Linked DNA regions of Oreochromis niloticus. The protein of the gene in region 4 binds, or shares a complex with, the protein of the main gene of each other region. Links are inferred from orthologs where the notes say so. Each region holds a gene or a part of one and is shown on either strand. Other genes may lie near its edges.

Region 1 (7,957 bases), on a different chromosome or scaffold from region 4:
CCACATATTTTCAAAAGCGCTCCGACGTTTTCGGAGACGTCTGTTACCCACCAGCTCGATAGCGAGCCGGGGGCAAGGCTCAGTAGAGCCCGTGAGAACACCGGACTCCCGGCAAATCGTTTTCAAACCCACCGCCGTCTTTCGCTACTCAGGTTAAACATACATAAGTCACTTAGATAACTTAAAAATGTTATTGTTTGGCTTTTTTAAAGTATTTTATTTGTTCCTGAGTAAATCGGTTTGGCTGAGATTAAAGTTATAGTTTTTACACAGCTGAATAAACGTCAAGCAGACAGCTGATTATCAGAAGTGTGAAATGCTCGAGAATATACTCCGGTGTCCCGTTATATTTTAGATAGCAAGGAGTTTATTAAACTTCACCGAAACAATCTGCAAATTTCATTAAAATTTAATAAACTATCATCTTGTCTTTATTTTTAGTTAGCACATACCTTAAACACTTAAAGTTGTAAGCTAATGATAGTTATATAAGAGCAGATGCTGCGGGTGCAATAAGCTGTACGTTTTACGTCCAATGGATGCATGATCTGATTAGTCGACTAATTGCAAAAATAATCGGTGACTAGTCGACTATCAAAATAATCGTTTGTGGCAGCCCTAGTAAAGATTCAAGTTACAATTATTTATATTTCCTATCTCCTTAAATCTTCACTCAAAGACAAGTATCTTTGACAGTGTGTATATAGATGTATCATATATAAAAGACAAATATTGTTCTTTTAATATGTTGGCATTACTACATTTGGCTCAATGCTTACATATATGTGTAAAAAGAAAATGTACGAGCTGTGATAACTGTTGCTGATAAAATGAAGAGTAGACTGATATATGAAATATTCCTTTATTGGGTGAGAAAATCAGACCATGTCATAACTGCTTTAAGTCATACAGAATAGACATCAGAGCTTTAAACAGGCTGACTTCTGCTAAATGGGTCAAACTGGGCAGAAAGTCTACAAACACATAACATCCTTATAGAACATGATGTAACACTATAGATCAACTTACCTCAGAATATGTAAAGCATACAAACAGTTACAGCAATGTGATGCAACAAACACAGCAGTGCTACTAATCCAAAATACTCAAAGCTTCATAGAACTGAAACAAACATTTATTTTTAGCTCCATTCTGCTGCTGATATATACTTTAGGTTTCTGAATATGAAACTTGTTGCTGCCTTTCATAGTGTGTAACTTGAAGGCCCTGAGTACTTTCTCCCACACTGAAAACACTGGGATGATAACATTATTTGAACATTACCTAATAAGACTGATTCAGGACAGACAATTAGTTATGTTAAACTTTCCCAGCAGTCCTTCACAAACAGGGAACAGTCTGTCTATTCTCTCCATCTGTCAGCTGCTGCTGGCTCTTCCTCCTCCTCTTCCTCACACACTGCTGAGTTTGTCCTGGTGGATCATCAGGGCTGCAAAGCCTCACAGATGATGTGCAGCAGTGGGTCCCTCAGTCTGTCCTCACTCTGGACACTTGCAGTTGTCACACATGGAAATCAAATGTGCGATAAGCTGCAGGATTCAAACACAAGTGTAACTTATAAATACATGTTCATACTTTTATTCCACAATCAGAGAGAAAGAAACAGAGAGAGAGTGCAGGACAGACAGACAGGTGACAGTCTCAGGTGTATACACTGCTACAAAACAGCACAAGAGAAGGAGGATTTAGTGTTTGTGTTATTACGAGTACTAAAGAAGAAGAGTTCCCAGATGGTCCAGTGGACACATGTGTGACTCCTGTGATTAAAGCATCTTTCTTTCAGCTTAACGAGTGAACCGTCAGCTCGTTCAAACACACGTTAAAGTCCGTTTGGCTCGACACCACCGAACAGAGGCAGCAATATAACATAGCTAACATTAACAGTGCAGTGAATCCTGCTTGTGCCGTCATATTCAGGACTGCAAACCGAGCAGCATCACTGACTTTCAGCTTGTTGTGTTTGTGGATATATGACTGACTTTAATTATCCATAAAATCATCACATTCTCTGTAAGATTAAGGTCAACTATTGAACGGCGTATATTTTAAATAAAAGGCTTTAAAACCAAGTTAGTACAAACATCACTAATGTCACATAACTTTGCCGACATGTGGCCAACAGTAATGTTTTAATGTTCTTCATTATTAAACATTCGCACATATGTGAGTGACATCATATTCAGTACTTATGTTGGGTCTAAACTCAGACCCCGCTGTATCCAGGACTTATTCCCATGAAAGAAAAACAAGGCAACAGTGATCGATCGTTTTTACTTGCGCAAGGGAGGCCTTTGGTCAAGACCAGCTCTTGGAGCTCACGCTCCTATCTGTCTCCAGCCCAAAGTCCTTCAAAGAGCAGCTTCCCTCGCAGCTATTTATTGACAAACTGTTACAGTTCACACAATAGTTTACAACACGTACCTCCCCTCTTAACCCCCCTTGTTTACAAAGACGAGGCACTGTATGTATATATATGTGTGTGTGTGTGTGTGTGTGTGTGTGTGTGTGTGAGAAAGAGACCTCCTGCTGGGCAGGAAGCTTACATCAAACAGACCTTCCAGATAGGATGTGTCTGTAATCAAACCTACAGCCCCTCACCTAAAAACTCAAGAATCTGGGGAGGGGGACAGTGGAATTCCTTTCATCCTACAGTTAAACAATGTAGAAATGGATGGTAAGCATAAAAATGACAAACATTTAACCATCCACTATAACAACTTACTTTTGAAAGTTCACTCTTCGGCCGCTCCACTTCAGCCGCCTGCCGTATTTTTCGGCAAAATTATCCACACCCACCGCCACGCTATGAATTGTGGGATATATGTGACCACGAAGTGTACACCGGACCACACTTCAAATTTGGGGAAATGGACGGCAAATTTGTCGACGGCATTTGGAGTACACTTCGAACTGGGACAGGCGTCGTCACGGTGCTGTGGCATAATCGGTCTCCAAATGCGCACTACGAAGCATGTGGTCGCTGGGTTGGGACAAAGCCGTAGGCAGCGAAGGCTGCGTTCTCCAAGGATGCAGACCCTGAATTGACACACATGAACCTAATGACAGGACAGGTGAAGTGAAACTACATACAATGAACAAAGAACACCAGACTCTTTCAAAATACAACCGGAAACATGGAGACATAGACATGACACGAACTTGACAACAAGGACAACACAGTCATGAAACATGACAGGTAGACGTGTGGACCAGGGAGACTTAGTACAGGGGAAGATGACAAAAAGTACTAAGAAACAAAGGACTAAACTGCAATCTAAAAATTAACTACATGAGCTAAACTAGAACATAAATGAATACAAAAGATACATAAAAACTCATACACTGGGTCACACGACCCAGTACCCTGACAATTGCTGTGCAATGCCCAACCATTAAATGACAGTAAGAACTGACAGTAAGATTTACAGATTACTACAAAATTTACAGATTTTAACTGAGAAATTTACAGTAAAACAATGCAAATAACGATTTACAGAAGAAATTATGGATAAAAAGAAATTATAAATTATAAGAAGTGTGCAAATAAACAGAGCGTGTCCGGTGCAGTGATGTATGGGACTCCAGTCATGTCCTACAGCTGGTTCAGGGCCCGAATAGCCTGAGGGAGGAAGCTCCTCCTCATTCTCTCTGCTTTGGTCTTAAGGAAGCGTAAGCACTTCCCAGACCTCAACAGTGAGAAGAGTCCATTATTGGGATGGGAGAGGTCCATCATAATCTTCCTAGCTTTGGTCTTACACTGCTTGGTGTAGATGGACAGCAGGTCAGGAAGCTCTGCTCGAATGATGTGTTCGGCTGAGCGCACCACTCTTTGCAGATCTCGTCTGTCCTGCTTGGTGCTTTTCCCAAACCAGGTGCAGATGTTTCCATCAGGACGCTCTCGATGGTGCAGGAGTAAAAGTTCTTGAGCACCCTCAGTGGCAGATGGAAGTCTCTGAGTCTTCTGAGGAAGAAGAGACGCTGGTGAACTTTGGATTCTAGCCAATCATTTTACCTTTGCAAGCGTAGTAGGCGGGCCCAGATACATACATTCTTTTAGAGCTACAGATTAAAAATACCCAAGGCAAAGCGGTCAAAAGTCTGGCTGTACTTCACAGCAAAAGATGCAAACTCAGCAGCCTGCAACAAGTGCTTTAAGCTGATACTGTGATACTGTCAAAGGAGGTAACTCCTCGAATCTGATGAAACACCTGGCGATGTATAGCATTTTGTTAGAAGCCGAGAAATGCGCCATATTTGATAGCTTGCTGCGAGACCTCACACCGAGCACATCTACTGCGGGTGTGGTGCCTCGGACCCGGAGTTAGCAACATCCCCCAAAAACCCGAAGAGGAGAGTCCTGGCCCCTAGCCCTGCCAGTGTAGCAGAAATGATGACGATGATGATGGCAGCAGCAGCCGTTCTTCTCTGCGTGAGTATGAGTAATGTTGTTCGTGTGTAATTTACGTTGAGTAGGCTAACCACATTATTACATTAATGCATGTAAGGTGAACTAGCAAACACCGTCGTAGTTACATGCGGCTGTCTTCTTGTTTGATGGCAGGTACTCCCTTCACCCTGGCCAAAAAGGCTAAAATGACCAAAGAAAAAGTGGGAAACAGTTAAACATGAGAACATGAGGTTTTTGGACAAAGTTTGTGTTTTTACCATTGTTTAAGCACTGCTTCCAGCCAAGAGTGATGCCATATATGCCCTATAGCTGCAGAAAAGGCTAACTTTGTAATTGTTACTTGTGCTTCACAATAAAATATCTGAAGAGAAATAAAGAACGTTTTTTGGAAAACCAAACAAACAAAAACACACACGATATTGACTTGAGAGCAAGCTTGAGGATTTGTGCAGTTGTAGCATCCAGCCTGTGAGGGACAGTAATGCTTCACCTCTGCCTATTACTAACAAAGAAGAACAAAGCGGAAGTGACCTGCGTTTCCGGGGCGCGCGGTGATCGCATCGTTTTGTGGTTGTTGTTTTTATTTTTGTTGTTGTGGTTTTAAGTTTTCAGGAGATAAACATGTATGACCAGGATGAAGGTGAGCTGCACAGCCGTAAAACTTCATTACGTCACATGGTGGATTATTTTATTTGCATTTATTGGGTAATTTTATTAACAGGACGTGACAGAGGAGCTAACCCGTGCTACAGCTAACCATTTTAGTAATTTCTGAGAGAACAAAAGCTAGTATCACTCATCCAAACAAACACCTGTCACACAGGTACGCGTCGGCTTCACGCAGATCACGAGCCTCACCTGAATCGTGTGCTAACAGCAGCTAAAAGCAGCGGGGCTTTGTGTGAGCTAACAGGCTAAATGCTGCTAACGCACGAGGACCCTTTATTTAACTTATCGCTGCAGACGTTTACACTCAGCGTTACTGTGACACTACACCCACAAATACTGCAATTTATAAACAGTACCACAGTATAAACGCGAACACTTATATTATGTGTAAATTCTGCAGTATAAAAACAGTGTACAATCCGCCACATTTACACAGTATAAACACTGCATAAAGAAAGCTCTACCGTGATCAGAGATTGATCAGCGATGGAAGTAAACGTTGACCACAAGATACTTGACCGATCTATCTTTAAGTTAAAGGTGAGAGGTCATTACCCAGTTTCTCAGGGAGGCAAAGCTACAGGCAGCAGGTCAGTTCCTCCTGTCTTCTCCTCCTTACCTCCTTTTAACCTGTAAAGGTCATGAAATGAAAGAGATGATGAGAAAAATAGACGTGTGCTGTGCTGAGACACACTAGTCTCCTCAATTACGTGAGGCTGAAGGGCTGCCGTGTTAAAACTACAAAGTGCAGAAGATGGACTACAAAATGTCTTCCTTCATCACAGGTGTTTTACAGGTTGTGATAATGAAAATGTCCCTTCAAAGACAGGACAGGATGTCTGCTGCACCTCAAAACACTCAGCTGTCTTTATCCTGGAATAACTGAAGAGGTTTAGGACTCAAAGTCAGGGACAAAGTGTTTTTGCAGTACACTAATGACACAAGTATTTGTAAGAGGTTCCTTTCAAGAGCAGAATATTTAAATGAGCCACATTAACAGGATTTGTTCCACAAACTTTAACTCTGAGTAAATAGTTTGTGAAGCAGAGTAATAGCTGATTTGATCATTTATGATTCATTTGAATGAGGGGGACGAGAGAGTTTGTAATCAGCTCAAAGCTGTGAGAGCAGGTCCAAGACTCCTCACTTAAGTGTTTCAAAAGCCAAGCTTGGATTTTATGAAACAGTTGTTTGAGCTCACAGGGAGCGTCATCTGTAGTGTGAGAAATGAAAGTGAAGTGTCTGTCAGACTGCAGCTGTTAATGAGATTCTGTGTGGGCTGGAAAACGCTGAACGTTGGATTTAGCCGTGTGTCACCTCCATGACTCGTGATCTGACAGTAAATCATCACCATCGTGCGGTCAGCAGTTTGGAATCAGCTCTCTGATGAACCCTGCGGCTCAGTCTTCAGGACCTCACAGTTCATATCAACAGAGTTCTCCTGATACAACCAGCTTCAGGCTGTGTGCTGCATTTGCCTGCACTCAGATAGGAAGTGATGTCATTACACTCAACTCACACCAACAGGAAGTTTACTTAACAGATCAGATGTGTTGCTTCTGATTGATCAGTTTGCGTGATCAGAGCCAGTGAGTTGAAAACAGAACGATCAATAACTTTCCTGTGAGATTGTCATCTGTTTTTATTGATGTATCTGATCAATTCACCAGTTGTTTAAACTGATCAGTAAACTCTATGTGCAGTTATCTGTGAAAAGGAAGCAACCTGAACCGACAATCTGTCATTGATTGATCGGTGAAGCTTCTATGTCTCAGTATGTGTATTGCTCATGTATATTGATCCCTGCTGTCTCTGTCAGATAATCAGTATGATGAAGATGATGATGAGATCACTCCTGACCTGTGGCAGGAAGCGTGCTGGATCGTCATCAGGTAAACTCACCTGTGTGTCTTTGTGGAGATGTAGTGATCATCTGTTCTTACAGGAAAAATATTATGGTGAGTCCACACAAAGCGCGGACCGGAGGGCATGTACACGGACCCGCCATCGGTGTTCAAAGCTGACAGCTCAAAGGTCTCTGATGCTGCAGGTTTTGTCTCTCTCTGAACCAGCAGCAAAAGAAGATCAAACTACGTTTCTCGTTTGATAAACATAATCATTAATTCCCTCTGACTTTGGCTAGTTTCCCATCTCAGATCTCTGTTTTTTGCATTATTCACTGGCTCATTACCCACCAGCAATGTTCCCTCTAAGATACGCACGTGCGCAATTGCGCACTGCTGGCACGGTCTCTGTGCACAAAAAAAATTAACCTGAATTGCAATTAAAATTAAAACTTTAACAATTCTGTTTTGCAGTGTTAGCCAGTGAGTGACTGGCTGCTCCCGTATGGGATTAGAACGATTCCACCTTATCCCACAGTCCAGCCAATAATGCGATTCACATTCGTGTATATGCAGCCAATCATCGTCGTTGACAGGCTATGACAGCGTCCTTATGTGCCGACACCGGTGTTTTAGCTGGCAAAGCAGCGTGGCTGATGTGGAGTGAAGCCACGTTAATGACAACGTTTCCAACCATTGGAGATGTGAGCAGGACAGACGGAACAACTGACGGAAAAAGTGTGGACTTTATACCAGTTTTTAAATTGTGTTGATAGGCCACGTAAAACCAGAGTTATGATAAAATATCTGCAATGTTTGGTTTTCTTCCTGAATACTGTCGTTGTTTATATTTACTGCGGGAAGAAACGGTAAAAACGGCGTTTTATAAGGAAAACGCTCGAAAGCCTGTGAACAAAGACAACACCAAAAACCCCGCCCTTTCCTATTGGTGGAAAAATGTACCATGTGGACCAATCAAAAAATGATATGGCAACATGGCATTTAGTTTTTTAGG
Region 2 (6,183 bases), on a different chromosome or scaffold from region 4:
TGCATTAATGATACCGAATAAATCTAGTTACTTCACCCAGTCACATTACAAAGAAAGAAAAATAAAGATGTCACATAGTGAAAAGAGACTATTTACCCAAAATTATTTTCAATTTAAAAGGCTTTAAAAGGGCTTAAATGACCTTCAATACATAATTGTATTATTTTGATTTACATTAGACACAACATCCCAACATTTTCAAAAGACCGTTTTAAATATTTTTAGACCAACTTTAATCAGAATGTCAAATATGGAAAAAAACTGAAAGTCACTGTTAAACGACAAGCAGCTGTCGATTTATTTAACTTCGGATCCTTGCTCCTTTCATATCAATTATTAATAATAATAATAATAAAAAAACAAACACATGGTGCTGCAGACACAGTAGCTTTAATCTGCAATTTAAAGAAGGCAAAGAAAAAGAAAACATATTCTGGAACCTGCTATCAAAATGTATTTGAACTCCTTGAGCATTTTCACAGTAATCCACTGTAGTCTGCAGTTAAAACACTGCAAACATTTATCCAGAGATCATGAGCAGTCCATGGCCAAAAAGTAACACTTCTTCTGACAGTTTGCGTTTATTTCTGTGTGATGGGGAATGAATTCTGGTCCATCAACTCTCCGACTCTCTCCTGGAGTGTTTGAACCACCTCTGCAAGAATGAACACGTGCGTGTCGTCAAGATCCTTGAGGATGAATTTCTTTCCCAAGGCCATCGTTTCATCCAGGTACAGGAGAAATTGTTTCATGGCAGGATCACTAGTGCATACAGCAAGAGAAAGTTAAAGTTTCGGCTACTTAAAAACAGATTTCTGTGAAACTAGCTACAAATATTTATTGGCAAAGTTACAACCTTACCATTCAACAAGGACACCTTTGTGCACGTTGACCATATTGATGCAGAGAAATGGACAGTCGAAGCCGATTAAAGAGCTGAATACCTGCAGCACAGTAAACAAACCGACAGCTGAAGGCCTCAAGTAGAAGCAGCTTTACGGCAGCCTAAACCCTTATTAAGGCACTAAACAGTAAGATAAACGCTTCACATGTTTTCGGACATTTTAATAATATTTTTATTACCATTACAACAAAGAAAATACTTGTAAACGTTTAAGTACAGCGTATGCTAGCTCTTTGTTTTAGCACCGGTTAGCATTAGCTCAAAATAGCATGGCCACGGGCATGTTCTGCTACATACCGCGATCTCAAATATCTAAAAGAGCAAACTTCACACATATACATATACATACCTGTCTACAGTTAAGCGAAGGATTAACATAAAGCAACAAACAGCCTTTTATCTACCCGAGATCTCCAGCTGTTTCTGCTAAGTTTTCAAAGCATTGATGGGTTATGTAAGGTGTGCGCCAAGGGACAATCTTCTGATGTCCAAATATCGCGCTAGCATGTTTTAAAAGCTTTTGCTGCTTCTGTGCTGCTTTTCTGTCCTTGGTAAAGGTTTAATGCTTTATATTTTAGTGCATATCAATACTGTGGGTTTAAAAAAAGCCTACGTTGTGTATAGATGAGTGAGTATTATGAAGAAAATAATGCAATATTTGTACCCAAGTGCATGAAATGCATTACAAAAAACTGCATCATGACATTGGTGCAAAATGCAAGTTAAGATCCAGTATAAAATACAGTACTGTGCCATTTTCCCCCTTCTGTCACTAACAGGAAAACTATGACAACTTGATACCATATATATACACTCAGGACCACTTATAAGGTACAACTACTCTGCTGCTCCTTAAGGCAAATATACAATCAACCAGTCACATGGAAGTATTTTAGTGCACTTAAGCATGTAGACATGATGACCAAGATGACCTGCTCAAGTTCAAACTGAGCATCAGAATGGAGAAGAAAGGTGATGTGGGTGACTTTGAATGTCGGGTGATTGTCGAGTACTTCAGAAATTGCTGGTCAATTGAGCTACAACCATCTCTAGGATTTATAGAGACTGATCCAAAAAGAGAGAAAATATCCAGTGAGCAGGAGTTCTCTGGGTAAAAATGCATCAGAGCAGAATGGTCAGACTGTTTGGAGCTGATAGGAAGACAACAGTAACTCAGATAATCACTTTTTTATATCCAATGTATGCAGAAGAGCATCTATGACTGCACAAAACTTTGAACCCTGAAGCAGATGGGCTACAGCAGCAGAAGAATAAGGTAAGAATAGCAAACTAATGTTTCTGAGGCTGGTTTAATGGTGTAGGAAATGTTTTCTTGGCACAATTTAGGCCCCTTAGTTCAACCCATTTATTGTTCTGGACCATGTCCATCCTTTTATGATAACAGTGTGCCCATCTTGTGATGGCAACTTCCTGCAGGATAAGACATCATGTCACCAAGCTCATATCATGTCATACTGGTTTCTTGTATGAGTTCACTGAACTCAAATGACCTCCAGTGACCAGATGTCAATCCTCTTGAGCATCTTTGGGATGTGGTATATTCCTATCATGGATGTGCAGTTGACGAATCTGCAGCACCTGTGTGATGGTATCATGTCAATATGGGCCAAAATCCCAGAGGAATGTTTCAAATACTTTGTTGTATTTTGTACTTTGTATATAGAAATGCATAGATGACTCATAAACCCTCAAACGTTACACATTTATTCATTTCATTGCCAGCATTTAGGACTGCTAGTGGCAGTGGGGGCTGCAAACACATGTATTAAAATTAATTTGCTTGATCAGTCCCATACAACTGTATGTGCAATCTGAACTAAAGGTATTAACTCAGGTCCACTTGAGGTAAGGCTTGGGAAAGAATATGTTTTGGCACATAAGATGATAATCACACTATAGTTAGAGTAAAACAAATACATATAAAAATAAAGTCTTAAACCTTTGCTCTGGTCAAAAGTCAAGTTGCATGAGTGGCAACAAAATGTCAGTGCATTTTTAAGTAAATACAGTAGATAATGAGCATTATGTATCCCATGATTAGCTGGTAATAAATCTAAAATAAAAGGAAATCTAGATAAAATTGTAATGTGCTTAATTTACTTGTAAACATAAGAGTTGTTTTCTTTCAAACTTAGCTGATGTACAATTAAGAGACCGATCTCAGTGGATGACTTAAAAAAGACCCCAACAACAAAAAACGCACCCTGCTATCGTTATCACAACTGACAGGTTTCCACATATATCCGTGTGTAAAATAAATTTGATTTCGTTAGCTATACTGCAATTGCATTTGTGGTGCTTCATGTGAATGTGCAGTTATTTCTCTGTTTGGTTTGGAGTGTGATATACATTTCAAGTATACAGCAGGTGGTCTCAGTGTCATTGTTTTTATAGATTTCTGTCAGTGGGTGACGTAGCTCTGCAGAGCGTCCAGGATGAACTGGAGGCTGCGTTTGTATAGAAATGAGTCCTTCCTCTCTGGTTTGCAGATGTTTAGGTGATCTACGTCCACTTCAATGAGCTCACCAATCCCGAGATCTGAAACCACAACACGATGAGACGCAAGACATTGCTTCAACTATGTGTTTTTTTTAAAATATTTAAGCTGTACATTTCAGACATTACAGTATTTGGAGTTACATACTTGCTGACTGCGTTGGTACCACAAGTATCTTGATCATGGGTCCAATGTTCGTCGGTAGTGTCTCTGCAAAGCTCAGCACCTTGAAATCCTTTTCTTTGGCCAGGTTCAGGAAGTTATCATTCAGGCTGCGCAGAGCTGGTGAATCTTAAAACACACACATCAATTCACATTAGATGCTGAAAGAGTTTCATAGACCACAGAATTCATCATATTCACTGACCTTTACAGAGTTCTCTGACTTCTATGGAGGGGAAGAGAAGATATCTGACATTGACAGAGTACTCTGCCATGAAGGTGCCGTAGTGAGGAACACTATAAAACATAATCCCTTTGGTGTTCTGTAATAACCCATGCATGTCTGGGTCCTGTGAGGCATCCAGCAGCATTTTCTTCACAAGCAGTCCTGCAAGAGAAACCAAATGCAAGAGGATAGATTAGTAATTTCTTTTTTTTTTTTTTCAAGTTTGATTCAAGGGATCTGCATAAAAGTCCAACATGCTTGTGGAAGGAAAGATGTGGGAGAAATACCTCCCATACTGTGGGCTACCCAGACCACAGGCCTTTCTCCAACTCCTGCCAGCTTTAACTTCTTTAGCAGCTCCTGACTTCTGTAGGCTAGAGACTTCCTGGAGAGACAGATAGTCAACCCTTTAATCTGTTGGAGTAATTAATCCAAGGGCACCTGACTTTGCAAAAATATTCTGTTTTACCAAGAGTAGCACCTTAATCACATGTAGACGTATAAAGAAACTACAGATTTATCGTTGTTTTTTTTGTTTTTTTACCTCTGATTCTCAGCAGGACACTGGGCCATCCAGTCACTTAGATGACTGTCATACTCCACCGACAGCACTCTCAGATTTGGACAGTCAGCAGCCAACCATGACTGACAATAAACAGTGATAAAACGACATGGAAGAACACTGAGATAAATCTTAAGCTGTGTGAGACCTAAGAGTTTCACAGAGACGACAACACACTTCTAAGTCTTGAAACACTCAATTTCACTGTAGGAGGAAAACACTGAAATAATCCATTAATGTAATTAGAGGAATCAGGTGCCTTTGTTACCTTTGGCCAGCACTCTGTATAGTCATCTTCGCATTTGGCTGCCTCCTCTTCCTCTAACGTATTGCGGTCCTTCTGCCTCCACGTCTTAAAAGCTGCCCCTAGAATCCCGTGTATGAACAGCACGTCTGCTTTGATTGGCTGACTGGAAATTGAAAACATTGTCAAAGATGATGGTTTGGTTATAACAATAAAATAAAATGATGTTAATGCATTTATGTAACAACTGAATTTGTTTTCCTACTTGCTACGTGTTTGTGGGTGCAGGATATAGACACCATCTGGGTATTTCTCTTTTACTGTCTCCCTGTCCAGGTTTGCAAGAGCACGAGCTGCGTGAGACGCCTGCATGATATGAGGGCACTGCATCATCTCAGCCAGGACAGACACCCAGCCTGCAGGTGTTTTATGGGTAAAGTAGGGGAAAAAAAACAGGAAAGTGTGAGCAGTACGATAAAATTTATAAGTTGGGGTGGATAACTATAAAAGTAAACACATTTTTTTGTGATGGTGACAATCTAATCTCTAATTGAAACAAGCACAACATATATTTTAGACCTTACTTTCATAACATCTTTAGCGCACCCAGTCAGGATTACACATAATCAGAGCTGTCTCCAGTTTATTCAGATTAGTTACAGACTTACCGGACTGGGCTATGGCCTGATGGGCACCTTCATTGAGAGCCAGGTTTCCGATAATGCGAACAATGTTCCTCTGAATCTTCATAGAGTCTGTTCTGAGGTGATAAACCCTCTGGAGAAGCTGTAGACCTCCGTTGGCAACTATGTGGTCACAGTGGCTCCTTACCTGCAGATCGCAAAGTATTAACCACAAGGCAACATCCAGACAGGGGGCGCATAGAATTGACCTTAATACACTGCTACAATGACCGCAACGAGTAGTAAGTAAGTAATCAAGCCACCGACTCCAGACTAAATCACCTTTGGATGCACAATGATGATTACCTTTGAGTGTTGTACCAGTGCCTGCAGACAGAAGGACTCCACCTTCTCAGAAGGAACAGAGGTGAGGCTCTGGGCATAAGGCAGCCCATTGCCTCCAAAACTCCACAGACCACCCTGGAACAATGAAGCGCACGTGTTAATGACAGGATATAGAAACTAGCTTTTTTCTTTCTTTTTCTTTTTTTTTTTTTTTGCACATCCCAGTGACTGTTGTCCTCCTGTTTAGACCATCACCTTCCTAAAGACTGTACATGTATGTGTAAATCTGTGATTGTCACCCTTTGTGCTGCCAAGGACTGAGTGCTCTCTCTCAGGGCCAGTGAGGTAAAGTACCGAACACATTTGTCCACCTCAGTTTGAGGCAGAGATGCCAAAAGCTGCCTCAGTCCGTCCTCCGCTGACAAACCCTGAGAAGATCACATTATAGTGAGATGCAGCACATCTGTGAGGTAGGCATTCAAATGGCAAATATCCTAAAGAGTAGATTTGAGTACCTCCCCCAAATCAGGCAGTGCAGGTGGGTGACGGAAAAACCTCAGGTCTACCTGAGGCGTCCGGGCCAAGCCCACTGCTGTCCG
Region 3 (7,410 bases), on a different chromosome or scaffold from region 4:
TGTTTTAAGTGTCCAACAACAGTTCGACCCAGACACCTGAGAATTCAGCGCAGACAAATGTGAGAAGGACACAGATAGATCGAAAAAGAAGATGAGAGAGAAACACAGAGTCTGTGTGTGCTCGTGTATGTGTGTGTGTGGGTTTTTTTGTGTACAAGAGCTACTTTCAATTCAGAAGCTGTGACATGGAACTGTCAGTGAAGCCTAGAAGTGCTGACAGGTAACACACACACACACACACACACACACATAAACTTTGTTCACACTGTTGTAATTGAAAGCTGTCACTTTGAGATTTTCTCCTCCACAGGGATTTGCACTTGGCTGCGGCTCCGGGACTTCACTCATCTCGTCTTTTTGCTATTACTCCTCACCTTTAGACCCACTCTCTCCCTCTTTCTGCCACTGTAGTACATAATACACAACCCCCTTTGCTGTTTCCTTCCCATATACACTCACACAACCAAAATCTGCCAAAAACAAAACAAAAAACAAAAACAAAGAAGAAGCAAAAAGAACTAACTACTGATCCTGTATAAAGAGAGCGTATTGACTGACTGACTGCACATATTTGCCCAGGTTGTAGGCTGGAGAGCAACTGCAGTTGTTTGGTAATGGTGTGATTGAGTCATCTGAAGCAGAATAGTTTACACGTGTGACTTCACCATCCTTAATATTCCCAGACGTCTAAATCGTATCCCTCGCATTTCCATTCTCTCTCTGCTACGACTACACGGCGTAATTCATTAATTATGGATTAGGGCCTAAATTAGGTTAGCCCATCTTTAATCATTTATGTGGACTCACTTCTTTGACTGGCCCACTAAATCATTAAGTAGAAGTTTCGGAGATGCTAATTTGTTCTATGATCGGCATTGGACAACTGAAAGTTTTGATGAGCTGATGTATGTGCAGATATTGTTTGTAAGGACCGAGAGCATTTTTCTTTTCTTTTTTTCTTTTTTGGGGGGCAATGACACATCAAACCAAGGACTATGTTGAGATTTTGATATCAACAACTCAGGTTTTCGATATTATGCAGGAACAGATGGAGGATACGATTTTTACCCGTAAATATCCACCAACACGAAGTTCACAGACACATACACACATACAGTACACCTATTCATATTTCCCTATCTCCATGTAGCTGCTAGTAATACACTTTTTAGATCTTTTTTTTTCAGCGTATTAAAGCATCTTTTCTGTTAAAAGACATCAATCTGACAGAGCTGTTGATCCCTGCTTACTTTACATGCATTCTGATAACAAACACATGAGATAACAACACGGCATGCAGTTTGCCAAGAGAAAGGCAAACCGAGTCTCAGCATTGTGCATTTTCTCTCACTCAGGGGTTAGAATACAACAGTCAATAAGATGTACAGTATGTCAGTGCAATACACAAATGAATAGGAATGGGTTTGTATTTTTTTTTTTTCACCATCTTAATTGATTTTGATTTTGATTTTTCTCATATAAAAAATTCAGAATGACTTACAGGAAGACTTATGTATTAAATAGGCCTGAAGTCAGTGATTTATTGTGAATGGTAAATGTTAGAAAAAGGCTCAACAAGCATGGCTTGAAGTTGCAATGACCCAGCCAAAGTCCAGAAGTCCAGATACCTGACTGAAATGCTGAGGCAGGACCTTAAGGGAGCTTTGCATACACAAAGTGCAAATGTCAATGAACTGAAACAATGATTCCAAGAAGAGTGGGCCAAAATCCTCCACAATGATGTTAGAGCTGTAAAGGAAACAATTACTTTAAGTTAGTGCTAATTCTACAAGCTACGGAATCAGGGAGTGTACTTCGTTTTCCACAGGACTGCACAGAGTCTCGTGAAAATGATACTTTTCCCCACAAGATCTCCTTTGAATGTAATCATCAGCTTTTAATCTAAGTGACTATATTTACTTCAGAATTGGTTAATTCACATGAGAGTTGGCTGCATTTCTTTCTTCTGGCTGTGTTTGTCTTTTAAAAGCATGTTTTAGTCGATTTAAACCAAACAACCCACACAGTCCCAATGCAGAGGATAAGCTGTGTTTTTTAACTTGATAAAATGTTGTAAGATCTGAAACCAGATCTTTATAGAGGCTTCAAGCTGACAGACAGTGTGAAACACAAGTGACACAGTAATGCTGTGGAACAAAGATCCCGATGCACTGTGCTGCACAAAGCAGCTGAACTTACAAAGAGAGCTCTCTGACACTATTTTCAAGCCAATCAAACTAAAAAAGAAAACTATGAAGTGCTTGATTTTAACATCCAAGGAACTTTTGGATTTAGACAAGCTCCTGCTTAACTCTTGAATAAAACAAGGAGGCACCCTTCTTTTGACATTGTGTCTATGTATAAAGCTAATGCATGTGAAGCAACTGAGCACAAACTCAGAAATACCATCTTTTATTCGTCTGCTTCAGTTTGAACTGAACACTGTGGCCCAGCTCTGTTTTATGGCTTCCACACTCTGCTGCTCCTGGGTGCTTAGCTCTCTCATTTTCTTTGGTGACTTGGTTGTACAGCAGACTGCAGCCTTATCTCACCTCTTCTCACAACTGATTACCCACTAGTGGAGTCCCCTTCCCTCCTCAGTCAGCAGTCTGGCTTCAGTCATATGAACTGATATACTCAGTTTTATTTAATAACAAAACCAACAAAAAAGCAGGGGGGGGGGGGGGGACATGTGGCCTTTTTAAGTTTGAACCGACTCAAATTTTCTCTCTAAATACAATGAGTGGTGACAACTAAGGCCAAATCATATTTTATTCATCAGGGTGCAAGATAAATTATAACTCAGTTGTGGCCACAGGCATAAAAAATAGTCAGCTTTGTTGCAATAACAATGGAGGTAAAGTGCTGCAAACAGTCATTTTTTAACTCCTGGATTGTTTTCCTCTTTTAAATTAATCCCTGAAAAACTAAAAGGCCACAGAATGTGTTTAAGCACAGCAGATGCCAAGATGTTTATCGCTACTGTTGTTATGTTTTGGGTAACATTTTCTCCATACTGAATTAAAGAATCGCGATCAGAATATTTCATTACCCCAGGTGGAAATGGTTTTGTTACAGACATTCACTTAAAGTGTTATATTAAATTAAAGTTAAATACTCCAAAGTTAAAACAATGAATCATACAGTATAGACAAGATATTACAAGTGTAAATAATACAGGTGTCATAAGGAGGTGCCCTAAAGTTTGATGGTCACAGGTAGGAATGACTTCCTGTGGTGTTCTGTGGTGCGTTATGGTTGAACCTGTTCCTGTGATTCCCCACGACAAGATGAAGATGGTACAAAGTCCAGTCTAATATTCACTGTAACTCAGAAAGGATCCTCCTTTCTAAAGCGTCTGTCACAGAGTCAGTTCTGGACCCACAATATCACTGGCCTTTTAAATCGGTTTATCGAGTCTGTTGTTATCTGCACCCCAGCACGCCACAGCACAGAGGATGGCACCGGCAATGAGGGGATCATAAAACATCCTCTGTAGCTTGTTTGTTTTGACATATATGTAATGCCATTAAAAGGTAGGCAGCGCTTTTCTTTCAGTTTGATGCTGTTTTTCTTACTAATTACTTGAGTCATTCACACTGAATAACGTATAAAGGCAGTATCTTAAGTATGAGAAGCAGGAGTTTAAAACAACCACTAAGTGGCGATGCTGAGCCAATAATCTCGTCCCAAAATAACAAGAAGTCCAATGATTTAAAATAAATAAATAAATAAATTACACAAAACACACTCAAAAACAAAGTAAAGTAATCATATCCTGTTTTGCTTTTTATTTTTTAATCAGAACTGAAGAACAGAAGAAGTAAAATAAAAGACTTTAATTTGTCTATGTAAAACAAAAAACTTATTTGTGACACATAAATTTAGATTTGGTGTATATTAGGCGATAGCATATTGGTTATATGAACCCAATTTACAAATAGACTAGCAGTTTTATATGAAAGTTTATTTAACTCCCATTTTTAATGAACTATCATGCAGTGGGATCTGTGAGCTAGAAATAATTATGTTGATATATATTTTTATGGCTTGTCCTGTTTAGCGTTTCAGTAGTTAATAAGAATATTGATGTGACAGTTAGTATAAATCCTGAGTAGTACTATAGTAAAATAGCATAAAGGTGAGACCAAACGTTTGCACAAACAAAAATTACTGCGTGATCTTTTTTCTTTTATATTTTTTCTTTTATAGTTTATTAAAAATGTGTAAATTGATGTGATTTTGTGGTGGATTAAAAAAGCCATTTAATAGAAGTTATATTTCGAAAATTTTTGTCATCAGTATTTTCTAATCGTGCTTTTATTCATCATAAATCATCGTTTTGTTGTACGTATGTAATGACGTCATGCAGGCTTCGCAGTCAATACCGGAAAAATCGAACTAGAAACGGAAGTGCAGCATGAGGAAAATTGTGTGTGAAGTTTACTTGTGTTGTCTCTGAAGGAACGACAAAAAAAACAGTGATTCGGTGGAGGGCGCATTCTGTTTTACATCTACAGCATATAGTTAGTCCTCTTGGACTAACCCTCTTCTTTCTCTGAGTGAGAACAGGAACAAAGTGTCAGGTAAAGTTGAATTAATCGGGATGCTAACGCTAGGTTAACTACCAAGCTTCTGGTACAGTGTTTCGCCACGTTTGTTTATGTATCTTGGTTTCCCCATAATACTCAGTAACGTTCGCTTCTGAACATAACCTTAGTTGTAGTTACTATGGAATTTACATGATCACAAAGTCAACTTAAACCCGTCTGTAATCGGATTTGAAAATAAACTAGCTATTGTTAGCTAGCTTTATATTTATGGTTCTGGGGCCAGTGACTGTTTTCCCTCTAACGCCATTTAATTCTGTATTTGGCTGTCTGACTTTTCAGCTTAGTTTTTCTTAATATATCAGTTATTTTGTTGGTATCAGGAAAAACCCGTTTCGTAATGGCTTATTACAAAAAGATAAAGCAGGTGACAGCTCTTAAGTCCCTGAAGCTAAAGGCCATCAAAGGTTCTTGCTACTTACACGTATACTTACATATATTAAGAATGTGATTCCTTGAATCCATCAAAATGAGCTTTGTTGCTTTGCCTTTTGTTAAATGAATCTTCATTTTTTACATCTTTCAAACAGGATGGATCCTGCTCTACTGAGAGAAAGGGAGCTTTTTAAGAAAAGGGCACTTTCCACCCCAACTGTAGAGAAGAGACAGGCTGCGTCAGACTCTGGATCACACAAAAAGAAGAAACCCAAAGTTGACAAGGAGAGCTCCTCTAGTTCCAAACTCAGTAGCGGTAGGTGAAGAATATTTTCTTGAAAAGGATGATGTTTAGTGCTGTAAACCACTTATTCTTGTTTATTAGTGTTTTAATGTCTCTTAATGTCAGTGCGCCCCAGGGTGGCTGTGGCTACAATGTAGCTTGCCATCACCAGTGCGTGAATGTGTGTGTGAATGGGTGGATGACTGGATGTGTAAAGCACTTTGGGGTCCTTAGGGACTAGTAAAAAGTGCTATACAAATACAGGCCATTTACTATTTAATGTCTCTATAGGTTCACATCACCACTAGCCTTTTCAGCTAGTGATGCTGAAAAGGCTAGCATCTGTAGATATATGTTGGCAAGTAGGAGATGCATCGACTGACTGGCCAGGGACTGGATTCTGCAGATTTCCAGTGCTTAGCCCCGGCCAGTGACTGGCCAGTCAGTCTCCCATATAACGGATTGTATAGCGGTGTAGGCAAATATTCACATGCACTCTCACAGCCTGACATGGTGTTAGTGTGGAAGCTTCTCATTGTGAGTGAAGAGACAAAGTTCACCAAAGTACACTGTAGGGCAGGGGTGGGCAACTCCAGGCCTCGAGGGCCGGTGTCCCTGCAGGTTTTAGATGTGTCCTTGAACCAACACAGCTGATTTAAATGGCTAAATTAGCTCCTCAACATGTCCTGAAGTTCTCCAGAGGCCTGGTAACGAACTCATCATGTGATTCAGGTGTGTTGACCTACGGTGAGATCTAAAAACTGCAGGACACCGGCCCTCGGGGCCTGGAATTGCCCACCCCTGCTGTAGGGGTACCAGCGAGAAAACCTTCATAAACAAGAAATCTAATTAGACATTTAAATATGAAAAGGGAATGTGGCTAACGCTAAAGTTTCACAAAGCTCAGAGCCAGACACAAATGAGCATCCTCAGTATGGCTTAAAGCAACTATGAGGGAAAATTATGGAGACGAGTGAATAAAAAAAAAAACTAAAAACGTTTTCTATTGATTATTTGAAGATCACCTTATTTTCTGTTGTTTCAGAAAATCCTGTAACTTAATACAGTTTGGGGAAAGAAACATTAATAATTTCTTTAATGGAAAACATATTTTTAAATGAAGAAAAGTAGATTTTTGTTTATCTGTGCCATTAATCACAGTTCTTAGAAAATCAGAATCTATTCGCAGCATAAGAGGCTTATTCTGTACAATATGATTGCTCATATTTGGACACCAAAACAATTTTCATAAAGACTTGATAGTAAATTGAGAATCCATGTGGTTAAAGTTGTGCATGTCAGTTTACTGTGATTCAACAAGATAACCAAGACACTGGAATAATACACTCTCCTGGTTGTTATTTCTAATAAGAAGGAACCTTACTTCACAGGTTAAATTGACCAGGTGACAATCTTTTCTCATTCTAAATCCTTAGCTTAAACCAAAAAACTAGAATTCTTACTGCTCAGTCAAATTTAGTTAAAAGAAAATTGGATTACAAGTGATACTTATGACATTTTTGCATTTAAAATGTTCTTTCAGATGAATTAAAGCAACACGCATAACTATATACAACATAAGAATTGCGAGCAGTGGCTCTTGGCATCCCTTCGAAATTTCAACGTCACTCCATATACTCTTGAAGAAAAAGCTACTTCTGTTAGCAGAAAAGTGAGTCAGCTTTTATTAGGCATTGTGTGGTAAGGCATGAAATTACACATAGTGCTCAATATGACATTTTACCGTACATCACTGTGCAGCATGCGAACTTGTCATGAGATAATGTTGCAGTGCTAAACATGTTGACAACACTGGCTTACAATTTACTGAAGAACACCAGCTTTATCCTAAGCAATGATTTCATCTGACTAGGCTTGATCAACAGATATTGTTGTCATAAGATTAGGACGGCAATTTCAGAAAAAGCATGTCCCGAAGAAGCTCACTGCATCCAGTAGGTCACAAAACGCTTAAAGCACTCACACAGTAGTTGTTTTTTCTGAACAGTTTTTTTTTAACACCCATATAGCAGGGTAAGAAAAAGCTTTTTTTTCAGTGTTTTTTGTTCTCCATGCAACTTAATAATCAGTTTCCAAAATAATCAAACTAAGAAAATGCCCATTTAATGCAACACATTCTGC
Region 4 (7,703 bases):
AATTAAAGTATTGTAAACATTGACTTAAATTTACACATATCTTTATGAAATGCTACTTGAAGTAGTCAGTAATAGTAACTGTTTAGAATTTACCATTATTTGAATAGACATATGTCTCTTTGAATCCAGAATCTAAACTAAAATTTGTTCCATCTTAATAATCTAGTTTTCTCATTAAAATTAGCACTGACATCAATTTAATACCTTCAGTTCCAAAAAGTTTATTTTCTCTGTCAAATTCACTTACCCAGAAAAAGTGACAAGACACAATCCATAGTGACAAGTCAAGTCAAGTCTCCAGATCTGTTCTGAATGTTCACATTGTAAAACATGAACAACACCCAAATATTGCTTTTAAAAGCATTATGTGAATGCAAAAAGCAATGCAAATTCACCAACTTGTGTTGACTATGTTAAGGACCTAGGAAAGATACACACAATGTGACATGCAGGACTTTTATGTCTTTTTCATGTTAAACAAAAAAAACCTGTCAGATTTGTGAAGCATTTATTCTTTTCTTTAGTTCCTTTCTCAGATCTCAAAGACAATGAACACAGTTATACTTAAAATTCCCAATACTGTTAAAATCTGGACCAAATCAATTTAGAGACTAAGGACTTTTAAAATACACTTCAAAATTTATCAAATAGCTATTTTATTTGTGAAATTAAAAAACAGGGGCTGTCCTGCTTGTCATTCTTTTTCTCTAGTCCATCTCGTATTTCTGATCTATTGAATATTTGTCCTTTCACACAAAAAAAACATTTCAAGCTTTCAGTCAAAACCTGCATCAGAGCTCCCTCCTACTTCGAGACCAACCGTATCAGTGTTTTGTGTATGCTAATTCATATGTATACGATCAGTGCCTGCATTTGCTTTATGTTACCAACTACTCCTCCTTCAGCCTCCACCAGCACCCTACTGTGTGCTCTCGTCAAGCTGCAGTAATCATGGCACCTGCATGAAAAATGTAGTCATACTGTGCGGCTGTGTTTCAGGCCTGTAAAAAGGGCAAGACTCCTTCCTTTCCTCATGCCAAAAAGGCACCCATGAGTAAACCGTATTATGGGACACTGATAATTAGTGACCAACTTTCTTCCTCCTAAATTCTAAATTAAAGTAAATAATGTATTTACTTTAAATTCATTTAAAAGGTCAAAAACAGAACTTTGGGTGTCAGGTAACTTTATTGAGTCAAATTAAGCAGTATGTAAATTCCACAACCAAGCACTTTAATAGCATTAAAAGGAGTATATTGCAATCCTGTAAAACTGTATTACAAGCCAGTTGTACAATAGTTGACTCCACCCACTGAATCAATCATTGGTCAATCGTTGATCAATCGTCATTAAGCAACTTTAAGTAAGCAAAACTAAAACTTAAGTAAGCAAATGTTTGCTTAACAACTAGATTTATTAAAGAAAAAAGGCTGTCCAAACCCTCCTGGTCCTGTGTGAAAAAGTTATTGTCCTCTAGCCCTAATAACTGGTTGTGCAACCCAAAATCTGATGTATGATTTGGGTGCACCTATATCTGGCCATAACCTTTTCAAAATAAAGGTGAACATTTGGGAGAAAAACTTGGGACATTTAATCAGCAAGTAGTAGTTTAAAATACTTTCTAAATATCGAAAAGCACAAGTATTACATAAAATGCACTAATTTTTCATGACAAAAGAACTTACAAGGTAAATTCACAGTACAAATTGAAATATTTGAAAAGAAAGTAAAAAGTTATTAGCAGAAAAGTAGATAAATCTTCTATTTCTTCCATGTTTCCCGTCACTTATTTATCAACATCAGCTGATGTTGACGTCTGAGGGATGTCCAAGTCCTCGGAAACTGATGGTACATTTTTCTGTCAAAAAAGTAGTGCTGATACTTTAGAAGAACTAAAAAACATTTTTAGAAAAGGTTTAAATTTATTACAAGCAAAGCAACACTTTATGCAGTCACATTTACAACACAGGTAGGCAAAGTGAAAAAGTCTCATTGGTCAAGTGGCTGCTATGCAAAACTTACCACTGAGCCGCCTTCTCTGGTCTTGTTGAACGAACAGGTCAGCCATTTGACATACTCATCTCTAATCTAGAATATGAAATAAATGCACACTTTGAAAAATAAATTAATTTACTCTCACCATAAAACTCGTAAAAAAATACCACTAATATGTTGTAAATAGAGATGATGTTAAATCACAGAGCAGGTCATTATTAAACAAGAGTTTTCAAACTGTGGTGCATGCCCTATAGCTAGATCCATAGAGCCACAGAGCCATTGCTAGTGGGGCAGAGTTTAGCTTTTATTTAACTACATTTAACTTAAATCTTTTTTTTTCTCTTATAAAGAACACATCTATTCGCTTCCGCTTATCCTTTTCAGGGTCACGGGGGGCGCTGGAGCCTAGGGCGAGAGGCAGGGTACACCCTGGACAGGTCGCCAGTCTGTCGCAGGGCTAACACAGAAACAGACAACCATTCGCACTCACATTCACTCCCGCATTCACGCCTATGGGCAATTTAGATTAATCAATTAACCTATCCCCACTAAGTGCATGTCTTTGGATAGTGGGAGGAAGCCGGAGTACCCGGAAAGAACCCACGCAAACACGGGGAGAACATGCAAACTCCACACAGAAAGACCCCGGCCTGATAGTGGAATTGAACTCAGGACCTTCTTGCTGTGCAGCATTCTTATGAAGAATGAATTATAAAAAGTTTGACATATAGTATGTGAGAAAAATGTTAAGAAACACTGGTATAACGAGTCTACCTCTTTGTTGAGGACACAGTGGACAATGTAGAGAAAAGTACCCTGCTGGGAGTTCAGAACTATAAAAACAACCTGAAAGAACAGGTTTGTCTGGTACAGGCCAAGAATCCAGGTACAGCCAAGTATAACAAACTGGGCCAATATCTTGAACAAAATCAACCTGCAAACAGAACAACAAAGTTTTTACAGTTCTTTACAAAACATTGGAGCAGGATGTTAAATAAAATCACATCAGTATGCTAAATGAATTTATTTCTCTACTGTAACTGCACTTATAGTCAAACAGGATGACATATTTAGTCTCTAGAGATGAACTGATTGTCTGGCAAGGGAAAGGTATCTCCCAATTTCCAGTCTTCTCCGGCCCAGAAGGGGGACTGGCTGGTCAGCGTCTTGCACATACATTTCATGAGCAAATTGTTACAAACTACTATTTCTACACACTCACAGTGCACAAATAAAAAACTATTTACTTGCACATGGAAAAGCATGCAAATAGTTGTGCACACACTCACAGGCGCATGCCAACAAGTTGCCAGCATGGAAACTCCCCACCACGAGTGAAGACACAAAGTTCGCCAAAGTAAACCACCATAGAAAATGTTTGTTATGACAAACCTGATCAAACACTTAATTGTGTACTTTTTAAAATTAGCCAACAAATGAAAAGTGACTCAAGCTAAACTATTCACAGCTCAGAACCAACCACAAGTAAGAGAGTCAGGCAAGAGCTGTGAAAGGAAAATTACAGACAGGTGAGAAAAAAGAGAAAAGGGTTGATGTGCTCTGATCTAGTGAATTCATAAGTATACGGGAAAATGATGCAAGTATCTGATATAAAGGTGGATATACAGCAGCTAATTTCTATTCAATTAGTAGCGTGCTTGACAGAGAAAATCCTGTAACTTACTCAATTTGGACCAAAAGTTTAATAAGCTTAATATTTTTTATTATGCAAATAATATTTTGTGTTGAAAAAAGTTGATTTTCTTTCTATATAATGTCAATTGTAGTTGAAATAGGGAAAAATCTGTGTTGTCATTTAGCAAATAATCAAAATCAGAATGGAAATTGCAATTAGTCTCGAGTCTCTACTGAGTGACATTTTTTTTTAAAAGCTGCTTTAAGTACACAAAAATCATAATGATTACTCAGAATTTGAGCTTGCTCTTTAAATTAAATAAAACCTTAAACTTACTTTGTATCTTTGGACTGAGAGATATCACTTTTTATGTTAGCCAAGGTGGGCCGCAGACTCCATAAAGTTGCACCAAACAGGATGCAATTAAGCTGATAAAATAAACAGATTTATAATTTAATTTTGAGACAAATTATGACGTTAAGAAAAGACATGTAATGTGTAATACAGTTCTAACACAAAAATAGACACACAGCAAGGATCGCTATCACTGGCCCTGTTAAAGCCCATTTGAAGTTTCGTTCTTCTGACAGCCAGCATCTACAATGAAAACGCACATTAGAGACCATTATCCAGTCTTGTACATTTAGTAATAAAAGGATTTAATACATAAATCTGTGCATTGCACCGTGTCCGACTTACACATTAGCCTTAGTACGTCCATATCCATCAGAATAGATCAGTGCAGAAACACCAACAATCACAAATGGAACACCATAGCCAATCAGATAGAGAAGAGGCCTGGGGAGACCATCTCTTTGAATGACTTTCACCTGGGAGAGCCTTCTAACCAACAGGTGGAGCTGTAGTGCCTCCAGCAACATCCACACAAAACTGGCAACAATAAAGAAGTGGAGAAGCCCTGCCATGACAGTGCAGGCCAGCTGTAGAGACGGATAAATGAATGTAAGCTTTATGGACAACTGGAACACAATAGAGAATCCTTTGATAATTCTTGTAGTTTAGCCACGTTGTACCTTATTATCAGTGTATTTGTCATTCCAGAGCAGGAGGAGTTGCGAAAAAGCCAGGTTGAGGCAGAGGTGGAGACGGGCAGTATTGTTAATTTTGGGATTCCAGCTGCACAGAAGGAAGGTAAGGATGGCCAAAGCCAAAAAGAAAAGTCCAATAATCACACATATCCGGTTCAGCCACTCTAAGAAGTCATTCTGTGGCACAGGCTGAAAATGAGATACATGGATGCAGATGAAAATGGATGGCTTTTTAAAATGCTTTAAAGCTGACAAATGTCTAAGATCCAGGTGATCCATTTCAGACTTAATCCAAGTTGAAGATTTTTTAAGAGCAATTTTTAGGTTGTGTATCTTTCTAATTCTGCAGTAATGATTCTTGTAATGATTCCACAAGTCCACAGTTCAATTTACAGTTCAGTTTTTGGGACCCTATTTCAATTTATAGTCCTTCTGTTATTTCTCCCTTCAGTCCATAGACAATTCCCCAGGTTTGATAGCATATGCCAAGAAGTGTGGGATAACCTGTCTAAAACTGGGTATGTAAAGTGTACTATACTTGTTGACAAAGCAGTTTGACAGAATACCGAATTAAAGTTCTAGAGAAATTTTGACTGATTACAAAACATTTTTTTTCTTCCACTTAAAATGTAAAAAGGGATTTAACCGCTTATATACACTGCATGTTTCCATTTGTCAAATTGTGGGTTGTGAATTTAATAAAATCTGAAAAATGTACAAGTATGTTAAGTCCTGTAAGTAATGAGGCTTCAACCTTACCAACATGTAACTAACATACCTCCCCAATCTGCATTATGAGAGCAAAGGTAGAAAGGTGAGAGCAGCTACAAACAGTGTAGTTTTTTTGAGAGTATGCAACCCAGCAACCCTCTTTTGACCAACGCATTGTCTCTCCATTCTGTCCACCTTCGGCTTCTCCAGCTTCCCAGTACACACAAGTGACCATTCCATTTTCTGGTACTTCCTAAAAAAAATAAATAAATAAACAAAGGCAAGAATAAAAAGTCTGATTCTTTTTCAATATAATATGTGAAAAGTGTTTGCCCCCTTCCTGATTTCCTAGTGTCTTGCATATTAAGCACAAATGTTAATTTTGGTCAAAGAGAGTAAGACATCATACCACAATCTAAAGAAACAACTGAGAAACAAAGTCACTGATAGCTATGAGTCTGGAAAGCTTCCTGCTTCCTCATGGAGTGACTGGGCTACCAAAATTACTCCAAGAGCACATTCACAACTCATCCAGGACATCACAAAAGAACCCAGAACATCATTAAAGAACTTCAGGCTTCACATGTCTCAGTTAAGGTCAGAGTTCATGATTCAAGAATAAGAAAGAGACTCGGCAAAAATATCATCCACAGAAGAGTTCAAGAAGTAAAACACTTCTGACCAAAAGGCTCATCTCACCTTTGCCAAAAAAAAAACCCATCTTGATGATCTTGAGGACTTTTTGGAAAATATTCTGTGGACTAATGAGACAAAAGGAGAGGATTTTGGAAGATTTGAGTCCCATTACATCTGGGGCTGTTTTGGTGCCTTAGGACCTGGAAAACCATGAATGCTGCTGTCTACCAAAATATCCTGAAGGAGAATGTCGGCCATCTGTTCAAGACCTCACTCTAAAGCACGATTATGTTGTTAAAGAATGTTAGCTACCACTCACCGCTTGTCTGCAGGCTTTATTTAAATCTAAAACTTCCACAACAACATTCTGCAGCAGGATAATAAAACACATCAGCAAGTCCACCTCCAGCTTAAGAAAAACTAAATTAAGACTTTGGAGTGGCCAAGTTAAATTCCTGACCTCAATCTGATTGAGACGCTGTGGTACGACGTTAAAAAGGTGGTTCACACTCAAAAACCCTCCAATGTAGCTGATTTAAAACAATTCTGCAAAGATGAGTGGGCTAAAATTCCTCCACAGAGCTGTAAAAGACTCATTGCCACTTATTGCAATGCCTGACTACAGTTGTTGCTGTTAAGGGTGGCCCAGCCAGTTATTAGGGTTAGGGGGCAATCACTTTTTTTTCCCTTAATGACAAACACCTACACTTAGACATTGCATTTTGTATTTACTTGCGTTATCTTTGTCTATTATTTACATTTGTTTGATGATCTGAAACATTTAAGTGTGACAAACATACAAAAAAAACAGGAAAACAGGAAGGAGGCAAACACTCTATGTGTACAATCTTGATGCTACACCTTCTTGTGTTGAATTGTAAAGTTGACAGGCTCTGTGAGGTTGGTGGTGTTTATTCCTGGTATTATGGCAGTTAAAACATCTGAGTACATCTCTGTCACATTCTTGGTTTTGAAGTATTGATGACTGAGAATGCTCTCCATCCCATTTAGCGTCAGAAAGGCGGCTGATATAGAACCTGGAAGTGATCACATCACAAAAAAACCCAACAACAACAAAAACACTGATGTTGATGCACCTGTGTCAGTCATCATTTTTTTAAAAAAGCTCTTACCATTGTTGGCCCTAGCTAGATCCTCCAAGTTGATTTTCATTTCACATTCCTTGGCAGAGAGGGATGAACTCTTGCTGTCATGGCTCAATGAACCAATGGCCACTAGACTCATATCTTGAACACAGATATGCATTCATTATGTTTGTATTTACTAAGAACTCAAATTTGACCTATTAGCATAAGGTTGAGCTTTGTCTTACCCACTGTTGAAGTGTGTACTTCCTTTTTTATTTGCGTCTCAGTCGACGGAGTCATTGCAACAACGAGCTGCTCTGAGAGGCCAAGAATAATACTACCAGTCTCCCCGTCTCCTTCACTGCTCACCTTGCTTGTGCTGGTAAGTGTTCCAACACCTGAAACCATCTACAGAAGACGACTTATTGTAATCAACAAATAAACATGCAAATTAAATGAATGAACTGGAAATATAAAGCTGTGACTCTGTTTGCTTTTCAGTACCATAGATGAAGAAAAGCAGTTTGCAACTGTCTGCAAAGATGTCAAGAACAGAGAAAATTGTGTTAGATAAAAAATAACTAC

What was found.
Region 1: gtf2f1 (region 4) and polr2b share a complex: the UniProt entries of both Homo sapiens proteins name them as parts of the TBP-based Pol II pre-initiation complex. The link is inferred for Oreochromis niloticus from reciprocal best matches to the Homo sapiens genes GTF2F1 and POLR2B.
Region 2: gtf2f1 (region 4) and gtf2h5 share a complex: the UniProt entries of both Homo sapiens proteins name them as parts of the TBP-based Pol II pre-initiation complex. The link is inferred for Oreochromis niloticus from reciprocal best matches to the Homo sapiens genes GTF2F1 and GTF2H5.
Region 3: gtf2f1 (region 4) and gtf2e2 share a complex: the UniProt entries of both Homo sapiens proteins name them as parts of the TBP-based Pol II pre-initiation complex. The link is inferred for Oreochromis niloticus from reciprocal best matches to the Homo sapiens genes GTF2F1 and GTF2E2.

Annotation. Positions count from the first base shown.
Region 1 is NC_031966.2:36,396,734-36,404,690, reverse strand, and holds the start of polr2b (DNA-directed RNA polymerase II subunit RPB2), read left to right. Parts: upstream 1-4,933; 5' UTR 4,934-5,050; coding exon 5,051-5,069; intron 5,070-6,917; coding exon 6,918-6,990; intron 6,991-7,957. UniProt on the Homo sapiens protein: Catalytic core component of RNA polymerase II (Pol II), a DNA-dependent RNA polymerase which synthesizes mRNA precursors and many functional non-coding RNAs using the four ribonucleoside triphosphates as substrates.
Region 2 is NC_031980.2:11,769,147-11,775,329, reverse strand, and holds gtf2h5 (general transcription factor IIH subunit 5), read right to left. Parts: upstream 1,317-6,183; 5' UTR 1,254-1,316; intron 945-1,253; 5' UTR 897-944; coding exon 862-896; intron 763-861; coding exon 582-762; 3' UTR 520-581; downstream 1-519. Other genes in the region: protein SERAC1, read right to left, coding at 3,327-3,463, 3,570-3,713, 3,790-3,972, 4,098-4,195, 4,355-4,455, 4,641-4,782, 4,882-5,032, 5,285-5,447 and 3 more. UniProt on the Homo sapiens protein: Component of the general transcription and DNA repair factor IIH (TFIIH) core complex, which is involved in general and transcription-coupled nucleotide excision repair (NER) of damaged DNA and, when complexed to CAK, in RNA transcription by RNA polymerase II.
Region 3 is NC_031971.2:23,286,465-23,293,874, reverse strand, and holds the start of gtf2e2 (transcription initiation factor IIE subunit beta), read left to right. Parts: upstream 1-4,386; 5' UTR 4,387-4,586; intron 4,587-4,852; exon of another isoform or gene 4,853-5,017; intron 5,018-5,140; 5' UTR 5,141-5,141; coding exon 5,142-5,301; intron 5,302-6,924; exon of another isoform or gene 6,925-7,410. UniProt on the Homo sapiens protein: Recruits TFIIH to the initiation complex and stimulates the RNA polymerase II C-terminal domain kinase and DNA-dependent ATPase activities of TFIIH. Both TFIIH and TFIIE are required for promoter clearance by RNA polymerase.
Region 4 is NC_031969.2:16,047,440-16,055,142, reverse strand, and holds the start of gtf2f1 (general transcription factor IIF subunit 1), read left to right. Parts: upstream 1-4,872; intron 4,873-5,134; 5' UTR 5,135-5,201; intron 5,202-5,461; coding exon of another isoform or gene 5,462-5,647; intron 5,648-6,891; coding exon of another isoform or gene 6,892-7,067; intron 7,068-7,163; coding exon of another isoform or gene 7,164-7,277; intron 7,278-7,363; coding exon of another isoform or gene 7,364-7,526; intron 7,527-7,622; coding exon of another isoform or gene 7,623-7,652; intron 7,653-7,703. Other genes in the region: adhesion G protein-coupled receptor E1, read right to left, coding at 248-275; adhesion G protein-coupled receptor E2, read right to left, coding at 1,787-1,858, 2,023-2,088, 2,773-2,932, 3,971-4,062, 4,165-4,231, 4,334-4,575, 4,669-4,872, 5,462-5,647 and 4 more. UniProt on the Homo sapiens protein: TFIIF is a general transcription initiation factor that binds to RNA polymerase II and helps to recruit it to the initiation complex in collaboration with TFIIB. It promotes transcription elongation.